2 linked regions of the Coturnix japonica genome follow. The protein of the gene in region 1 purifies or fractionates together with the protein of each later gene. This does not show direct contact. Links are inferred from orthologs where the notes say so. Each region holds a gene or a part of one and is shown on either strand. Other genes may lie near its edges.

The links. The genes of interacting proteins can lie anywhere in the genome.
Region 2: the proteins of SMAD2 (region 1) and SMARCC2 purify together in Homo sapiens (affinity purification with mass spectrometry; 3 studies listed by BioGRID, with this or other methods). This does not show direct contact. The link is inferred for Coturnix japonica from reciprocal best matches to the Homo sapiens genes SMAD2 and SMARCC2.

What each region holds. Positions count from the first base shown.
Region 1 is NC_029547.1:1,320,337-1,324,534, forward strand, and holds part of SMAD2 (mothers against decapentaplegic homolog 2), read left to right. Parts: intron 1-1,734; 5' UTR 1,735-1,787; coding exon 1,788-2,023; intron 2,024-4,198. UniProt on the Homo sapiens protein: Receptor-regulated SMAD (R-SMAD) that is an intracellular signal transducer and transcriptional modulator activated by TGF-beta (transforming growth factor) and activin type 1 receptor kinases.
Region 2 is NC_029544.1:895,721-900,591, forward strand, and holds the start of SMARCC2 (SWI/SNF complex subunit SMARCC2), read right to left. Parts: upstream 2,935-4,871; 5' UTR 2,891-2,934; coding exon 2,780-2,890; intron 2,697-2,779; coding exon 2,577-2,696; intron 461-2,576; exon of another isoform or gene 455-460; coding exon 369-454; intron 95-368; coding exon 13-94; intron 1-12. Other genes in the region: RNF41 (E3 ubiquitin-protein ligase NRDP1), read right to left, coding at 4,349-4,700. UniProt on the Homo sapiens protein: Involved in transcriptional activation and repression of select genes by chromatin remodeling (alteration of DNA-nucleosome topology).

The DNA.
Region 1 (4,198 bases):
AATTGCTTTAGTGTAATATGACCATGAGACTAGCAGATAAACTACGCCTTCAGATAGTATCTCTAAAAACTAGTAAATGTGCTTAGGGAGAGTGGTTGAAATTCTGCTTAGTTAGGGCTGAACTGTCAGTCTTCTGGAAATGGGGAGAAGAGGATTTTTGCCTCAGACTGTCTGAAAAATGTGAGAGTTCAAATGTAAAGCAAGTCTGGAAATAGATAAAACACAAGAGAATGTTTAGAAGGATTGGAAGAATAGGTGGCTTAACACAGTGGTAAATGAGGCTACTGAAGTGTGTACTTTATAATGCTGACAATCAGAGCAGTTGAAAGGTGACAAATGAGAAGTTAAAGAATTGGGAATGCCTGTGTTATGTGTTATTGAGCTCCTTAGACTTGAGAAGAGAGGGTGTGTGGATGAGCAGTGAGAGTGGCATTTGGTTGTGTACGTCTGTCAGCATTGGCTCCTAGGGAATACATAGCTCGAGTGTCCTGCTCTGTGTTGGATTGAAGATGTTGGCTGTTGAGGTTGTTTCTGTAGTTTGCTGTAGCAGGGGATCCAGTGTAACGCTTCTGCAGCCTGCAGAATTTGACCTGCAGCTGGATGTATTGGCCACGGTTCTGTAATAATTTAACACCACTGAAAGAACTGTTCTTCTCATGCTATAGCCTTAGATGAAGGTGAGGCCTTTCATTTAGGTTAGACGAGTTATTATTTAAAGCTGCCTGTGGAATGTAACCCAGCTTTTGTTGATGTGTTGGTTCTCATTGAAACTGTGAAGGTGTGATGAAACAGAAATCAACCAGGAATACCGTAACCTGAAGTGTCCCAAATGAACCATCGCTGTTTTGCAGATGAGAAATCTTACTAGATGAGGTATATTTTGGACAGAAGCGAGGAGTGTGCCTGTGTGGTATGCACATAATCTGACTAGAAAGCTCTGATTGAGTAGCCTAAAGGTAGTGTTTAGTGCTTGGCTGCAGCAAGGCACTCACTATTACAACTAAGAGCGCAGAAGTTTGACAGCAATTGAGGCATCCAGTTACTGCCTGCAAATGAGACTGACTAGTTCTGAGTGTAATGCAGTACTCTATCTGTAGATTATGCTGTCCTCAAACAAGCTCCAACAGCTGTCAGCTTGAAATGATATAGCTGATTTGAGGCTTATATTTTAATAACTGAAAGTATCCTGATACAAACTATAAAACTAGAAAGTGTATGTATATATATGTATATACACACACACACATATATATGTATGTATATATATATTAATGGCTATCTTTTCTTTGGATCGGTTTGAAGTATAAATAGGGATGAATGCCAGACATAGCAAAAGCTTCAGCATCTCTCCTGATTTTTTCTGTGAAGTAAATGTCCTGATTGGAACTGAATGAAAGGGTGTCAGAATTCAAAACAAATAGAACTCTGGTACCTACAAAATGAGATTTTAAATATCCTGTAATGGATTTTGAAAGACATGATGATTTCAGTTAGTGATGTTTAGGAAGGTTGATTATTGGTAGGCTGTTGAGTTGTTGGTAGAGCCATGGAATAAACTCATCATCAAACTTTGAAGTGGATTTGAGATCCATGTTGTGAACCACTACCTGAATTGTTTGGAGGTGGAATGCCCTATAGTATAATGGCAGATATAGATAATGGAAGATCCCAAACAAGGAATGTTTTCAAGTAAAACCTCAATGCTAATGTGTTTGTTTTGGTTTGTATTTTTAGAGATCAGACGAGAATCTCCAATTGTGTGCTGAGCCTTCTGTCTGGTGGAAGTCATGTCATCCATATTGCCATTCACTCCACCAGTTGTGAAGAGACTTCTTGGGTGGAAAAAATCTGCTGGTGGCTCTGGAGGGGCTGGTGGTGGTGAGCAGAATGGGCAGGAGGAGAAGTGGTGTGAAAAAGCAGTGAAAAGCTTGGTCAAGAAGCTAAAGAAAACGGGACAGCTGGATGAGCTCGAGAAGGCCATTACCACTCAGAACTGCAATACCAAGTGTGTGACAATACCAAGGTAAGTCCTGTTGCGTTCGGCATTCCTTACAACCACTTAAATGACTAAATGGATGTTAATTTGTGTGAACAAATTAATAACAGAATCAGTTGCATGCCTTTGATTCTTTAAAAAACTTTAAAACCTGTTTTAGTTTTATGTACTGCTTGCTTCAATTCTTTGAACTGAATCACATGCTTTGTACATTCACAATTTCTAATACGTTTACAATTCAGTTTTTATTACTACCTGGATTCCAGTTTGTGTATGTTCTGGTGGTGCATCTAGTGCAGCTCTTTGCTCATAACACTGCCATATGCTTCTACTTTATAACTCTCTCTGTATTTGGAGAGGCTTACTTGAACATGCACTTCCACATTAAAACAAACAAAAAAAGACTAGTTTTTCCTTGGTCAACACTTCAGTCCTCTTAATTGTAATTTTCAGTTGTATATGGAAGTTTTGTTGAAGTTTTACAAACTGCATCCATTTTCCCATTTGAAGGGAAACATTAGTGGAAGTAGTTTGTCTGAAGACTAATTACTATTTTTATTGGTTCATGAAAGTGCTTTTCATTTAATAACTTAAGAGTACTTTTAGATCTTCTCTTCTGCTCCCTATATATATGTATATTTAGGTGAACAGCTCGCATTCTACCCCTTTGACTTTCTCAACTTCATTCATTGCAACTGCTGTGCGAGAGGCGAGGGTTGTTTGTTAAGTGTATCTGTAGGTTCATGTTGTACAGAAATCCCACTGAAGGTGTGTGTGTAAGCGTGTCAGGGGTGAACCATGAATCTCAAATCACTATGGTGTGTTTCTATAAAACTGTAAGAAAGTCTGGTGACAAGAATATTTTGGACATTTAGCCCCCTGACACTTGAATAGTTTCTAAGAGAGAGAAACTGCATATTTTATGACCTCAATTTCTGTCTTATTAGCACACTGATCCCAGCTACTTTTAAGCTTTGTTTTAGTCGTAGTTCCATCTACATTCAACTGATGTCAGTAGTGGTTGCTGCCTATCAGATGTGTTATGGCTGTTATCTGATCATGGCTTTAGGTTTGACATAGCTTTTTCTGTAATCTATACACATGGCTCCTTTCATTCTGTCCTCTGTTTTCTGTTCACCTTTTGTTTCTAATGTCACCTCCCACTTGCATTTTCTTTCCAGACTGTCCCCAAATTTTCTGGGTTTCTTGTCTGTTCTGTATAGTTGCCTTGTTGTGATGGGCAGTTCTTGCTGGATTGTGATGGACTGTCACCTATCCTTGGGTCAGCTGAAGGAGAGCTCACATGTTTTACTTTTCTTGACTACTGTATGAGTAAGCTGGTAGCTGGAGCTCTTTGGGGGGTGTTGGCATAAGGTTTAGTTTTAAACTTACAAATGGCTTTGATGCTAACAGGCGAGATGATATCAGTACACAGACTTCATCTTCATAGCTGGCTTTTGGACCGCTGCTGTTATTTCACTTTGACATCAGTAGTCTGGGTTCCCAGGAAAGACCAAATGTCAGTTCAGTACTGTAATGACTTCTGGAGTTTTTTGCTTATGGATTTAGTAAGCAAATTAAAACTTCTGCTTGAGACCCATTCCAGCGAATTTCTTAAAGGTCTGCAGTTCAGCAGGGGGTAAACAACAAAGGGTTGACTAGAAAACATTTTGTTCCTTCATTGTGGGCAAGAGGTTTGGGGTGCTCAGTTGCTGAAGTGCACTTCTGTCATGAGTAGAGGCTTATTGTTTCTGTTTTCGTTGCTGGTGTTTGACCAGTTGTAGATTGAATCTGTGATAACTGCTTAACTCAGTATATTGGCGAGTGCTGTGAAGATGCGCCTTTGTGGAGCTGTTGCTTCATACCATCACTAGTATACTTCTTTTCATCCCCTAACTGATAGTGGGTTGGATGGGACTGAATAAAGCTGCCCCTTCAGAAATCTGCATACACACAGCTTTTGATAATCCCATTGCGTTGTTCTGTTTCTGGCTGTTTGTCAAGGTGACCACACAGAAAGTGGGGCTGATGCTGTGTGAGCTACCCAAGCTGCTCGTGTGAATTACTACAACTTCTTACGCAGACTAATGGAGGTTCTGAGAAAGCAGAAGCAAACAGATGGAGTGGGTGTTGGCATCACGCAGCAGGGATGCTGAGCTCCTCAGAAGTGGGTCAGTAATGTAGAGCAGAGGCTAAATAAGT
Region 2 (4,871 bases), on another chromosome or scaffold:
AGCAGCTCCCACCTGCACCAGGGATTTCTCGATGGTCATAAACATCTCCACGTTGCGATCCATCCGCGAGGGATTCTGGAAATCGAAACGCCGCCTTATTGGAAGAAAAGAGCGACTCTCATGAAAGCCACAGCTCAGGTCTCCTCATCACTCAGCCCCATTTTACCCATTAAAGGGGGGTGGGGGGACACCCCAACAGGGATCTGTGTATGGGGCTGTGACCCACAGATGGGCAGCCAACACACTGCCCAACCCAGGGCTGTAACCGCCCCCATTGTGCCCCATAGAGCAGACAAATCTCTGCCTCCCCCCTCCCAACCCCACCACCACCCTTAATTCCATCCCATCCTCCCTATGATGCCGCTCACCATCCTTGGTCGCTCTTGAACTTATAAGCAGCCGCCAAGATGTGGCACAGGGCTCCCCCCGCCTTGAAATCCAGGAAGCATTTGATCTGGAAAAGGGGATGGGAGGACTCGGGGGGGGGGCTGCCCCACAGCGGGCAATACCCCACAGCGGGCAGTGCCCCACAGCAGGCAATACCCCATACATAGCAGGCAATGCCCCACAGCGGGCAGCACTGGGACTCATCCCTTCTCCCTATTGTCCCCATTGCTGTCCCTGCTCCATGCCATGGGGGCGACCACCCCAACAACCCCCCCGCCCAACCCCAGCCCCAAAGAGCCCCCCAAAGGGATGGGAGTGGGGAAGAGGAGGGTCCCCATGTGTCCATCCCTCCCAGCTGGGCCGTGTGGGGCCTGGGGGGCTCTCGCAAAGACCCCTCCAAAGGGGGTGGGGGGTGGGAAGGGGGAGGGTCCCATGTGTCCCCCCCCCACCAAGGCATTGCAGGACCGGGGGGGTCTCACAAAGACCCCCCTAAAGGAGGGGGGGGGGGGAAGAAGAGGGTCCCTATGTGTGTCCCCCCCAGCTGGGCCATTTGGGGCTGGAGGGGTCTCGCAAAGACCTCCCCAAAGGGGGGTGGGGGGGTGGGTCCCCATGTGTTCCCCCACACCAAGGGCCGGGGGGGTCTCGCAAAGACCCTTCCAAAGGGGGTGGGGGGTTGGGAAGGGGGAGGGTCCCATGTGTCCCCCCCAACCCAGGGCATTACGGGGCCGGGCCGTGCGGGTCCGGGGGTGTCTCAGGTCTTTCAAAGACCCCTCCAAAGGGGGTTGGGGGGTTGGGAAAGGGGAGGGTCCCCATGTGCCCCCCCCCCAGCTGGGCCATTTGGGGCCGGGGGGGTCTCGCAAAGACCTCCCCAAAGGGGGGTGGGGGGGTGGGTTCCCATGTGTCCCCCCCAACCCAGGGCATTGCGGGTCCGGGGGTGTCTCGGGTCTTGCAAAGACCCCTCCAAACGGGGTGGGGGGTGGGGGGTGTCCCCATGTGTCCCCCCCAACACCAAGGCATTGCGGGGCCGGGGGGGTCTCGTAAAGACCTCCCCAAAGGGATGGGGGTGGGGAAGACCCCTCCAAAGGGGGTGGGGGGTGGGGAAGGGGAGGGTCCCATGTATCTCCCCCAACACCAAGGTATTATGGGACCGGGGGGGTCTCACAAAGACCCCCCTATAGGGGGGGGGGGGGGGAAGGGGAGGGTCCCATGTATCTCCCCCAACACCAAGGTATTATGGGACCGGGGGGGTCTCACAAAGACCCCCCTATAGGAGGGGGGGGGGGGAAGAGGAGGGTCCCTATGTGTCATCCCACATTTGGGGCCTGGGGGGTCTCACAGAGACCCCCTCAAAGGGATGGGGGTGGGAAGGGGGAGGGTCCCTATGTCCTCCCCACCCAGCTGGGCCATTTGGGGCCAGGGGGGTCTCGCAAAGACAACCCCAAAGGAACGGGGGTGGGGAAGAGGAGGGTCCCTATGTGTCCCCCCCAACACCAAGGCATTGCAGGGCCGGGGGGGTCTCACAAAGACCCCTCCAAAGGGGGGGGGGGGTCCCACGTGTCCCCCCCAACCCAGGGCATTACGGGGCCGGGCCCTGCGGGTCCGGGGGGGTCTCACAAAGACCCTCCTAAAGGAGGGGGGGGGGGAAGAGGAGGGTCCCCACGTGTCATCCCACATTTGGGGCCGGGGGGGTCTCGCAAAGACCCCTCCAAAGGGGGTGGGGGGGTTGGGAAGGGGGGGGGTCCCCATGTGTCCCCCCCCCCCCCCAGCTGGGCCATTTGGAACCGGGGGGGTCTCGCAAAGACCTCCCCAAAGGGATGGGGGTGGGGAAGACCCCTCCAAAGGGGGTGGGGGGGTTGGGAAAGGGGAGGGTCCCATGTGTCCCCCCCAACCCAGGGCATTACGGGGCCGGGCCTTGCGGGTCCGGGGGTGCCTCGGGTCTTGCAAAGACCCCTCCAAAGGGGGTGGGGGGGTTGGGAAGGGGGAGGGTCCCCATGTGTCCCCTCCACCCCAGCTGGGCCATTTGGGGCCGGGGGGGTCTTACAAAGACCCCTCCAAAGGGAGGGGGGGGGGTCCCATGTGTCCCCCCCAACCCAGGGCATTACGGGGCCGGGTCGTGCAGGTCCTGGGGTGTCCCTGGGGGGGGTTGCGGGGTTTGCGGGTCCCTTTGTCCGCCCGGCCCAGTCACGCACCGGCAGTTTGGTGAGCGGCGCGTTGCTGACGTGCTTCCCGAACACTTCCTCCTGGAACTGCAGCAGTTGAACCACGAGACTCGACAGCGATTTGTTGGTGGGGGGCTCGGCCTGGATGTACTGCGGGAGGGGGCTCAGCCTCGGGCCTGGCTCCGTGTAAAGCGGAGCCGTGAGGCCTATGAGGGATCCCGAACGATCCGTACCTTCTTGTAGTTCTTGCCCAACCAAAGGCGGACGTTGTCGAATTGACTGACGGTGTCCGAGGCCTCGTAATATTTGACGTTGGGGCCGCCGTCCTTCTTCCGCACCGCCATCTTCCAGCGGGCCGGGCCGCTCCCCGCCGTGACGTGACGCAGCGCCCCCTGCCGGTAACGAGGGGTACTGCAGGACGGCGCCCCCTGCCGGTAATGAAGGGTACTGCGGGACGGCGCCCCCTGCCGGTAATGAAGGGAACTGCGGGACGGCGCCCCCTGCCGGTAATGAAGGGTACTGCAGGACGGCGCCCCCTGCGGGCAGAACAGGGGTGAGTGTGCACAGCGCCCCCTGCAGGCCGAATGGAGATGAGTGAACACAGCGCCCCCTGGCGGCACGGAGGACCCGATGGATGGGGGCGGTGTGCCGGGTCTAGGCGGAGCGCGGATGAGGGAGGCGCTGAAGTCACGGTGGCCGAGAGGTGAAGGCGTTGGACTCGAAATCCAATAGGGTTTCCCTGCGCAGGTTCGAATCCTGTCCGTGACGGAGCTTTATCTTTTAATGGGGGGGGGGTCCCTTTTTAATGTGGGACTCTGTATAACACGGAGCAGTTCAGAAAGGCTCGGCCCCTTTTAGTGTGACCCCCCCCCCGACCCCTCCTAGAGCAGCCACAGCTTCGCTACAGAAACCAGAACAGCCGTTTTTATTGATCGCTGAACGCCCCCCCCCCCCCCCCCCCCACCAACAAGGGGGGGGGAGACCCGGAACCGCATCGTACAGACAGCGGAAAATAGGGGGAAGGGGGGGGGAGGACCGTAAAAAAAACCAACGTAACGAATGAGAATAAATTAAAGTCCCATAGGGTGAATGGGGGGGGGTAAGGGGGGGTATGAAGCCATCGGTGGCACTCCAAAATCAAAGGGGGGGGGAGGAGAATGGAGGGGGGGGGTAAGAATGGAGGGGTGGGGGAAGGCTGAGTAGTACAAAATAATACAGAACCACGAGCACGAGTGGCTGCAGAGGAACAGCAGTGGGGCAGAGGGGGCTCCTATTGCCCCCCAGGGTGGTGCCAGACCCCCTCCCTGCTCCCCCCACCCCCCCCCCTCATTGGCTCCCCCTCGCCCATAAATGCCCAGCTCTGCCTTTAGGGTTAAATGGGGAGAGGGAGGCCAGGCCTGGCCCCCTGGGACAGACACAGGCAGCATAGGGCAGAGAGCACAAGGGAGGCAGCCGGGGGGGCTGCAGGCACAGCGTGAGCATCCGTGGGGCTGGAAGCCCATGGGGCTGGAAGTCCATGGGGCTGGAAGTCCATGGGGCAGCAGCCCAGCAGTACCCGGGGTGCAGCTGTGCCTCCTCTGCCCCCTCTGAAGACACCAAGTGGGGATATGGAGCTGCAGGGGGCAAATGGGGGGTGGGCTGGGGTGGATGCAGCGGTTATAAGGGGGACTTGGGGGGAAGGGGGGGGGACATGGAATCGTTTCATCCAGCTGTGAGCAGAGCCCGGCCATTGGCAGCATCCACCCCAGGCCTCGGTCCCAGCCCCCTCCTCAGCACAAAGCATCGCTTCTTCCAACGTCCATTTATATTTCCTCCACTCCGTGTGCAAATATCATCACCAGCCCCGGCTCCAGCACCATGTCCTCACCCATGTGCTGGTTCTCACAGGCCATCACCACCACGGCCTGTTTGCCTGGGATCCGTTTGGCCACGTAATTCTCGTAGTAACGTCGGTTCATCTGACGGGTTTCCAACGTGGCCAGGCCTTGAGGCCAGTTCCTCTCGTGGGCGTTTTCAATCAGCTCGTTGATGATGGATGTGGGGCAGCCACTTTCCACCAGGGAGCGTTTAATCACGGCCTGCAGCACAGCATCCGGCGTGGAGATCATCCCACCCCATCGTGTCACACGGGCGGGTTGCAGGGAGTTCACCCACCTGGGGACAGACATGGGGGGGTGAGTCAGTGCCCACCCAACACTTAAAGGAACGCCAGCTCCTCACCCCCCTGTTCTAACCCACCTTTGTTAAGCAGAGCCCCCCCACTCCCTCCTAAAGAAGGAAAAGAAGCAGGTTCAGCTTCCTCCTGCCTTTCTAATGAGGAGGAAG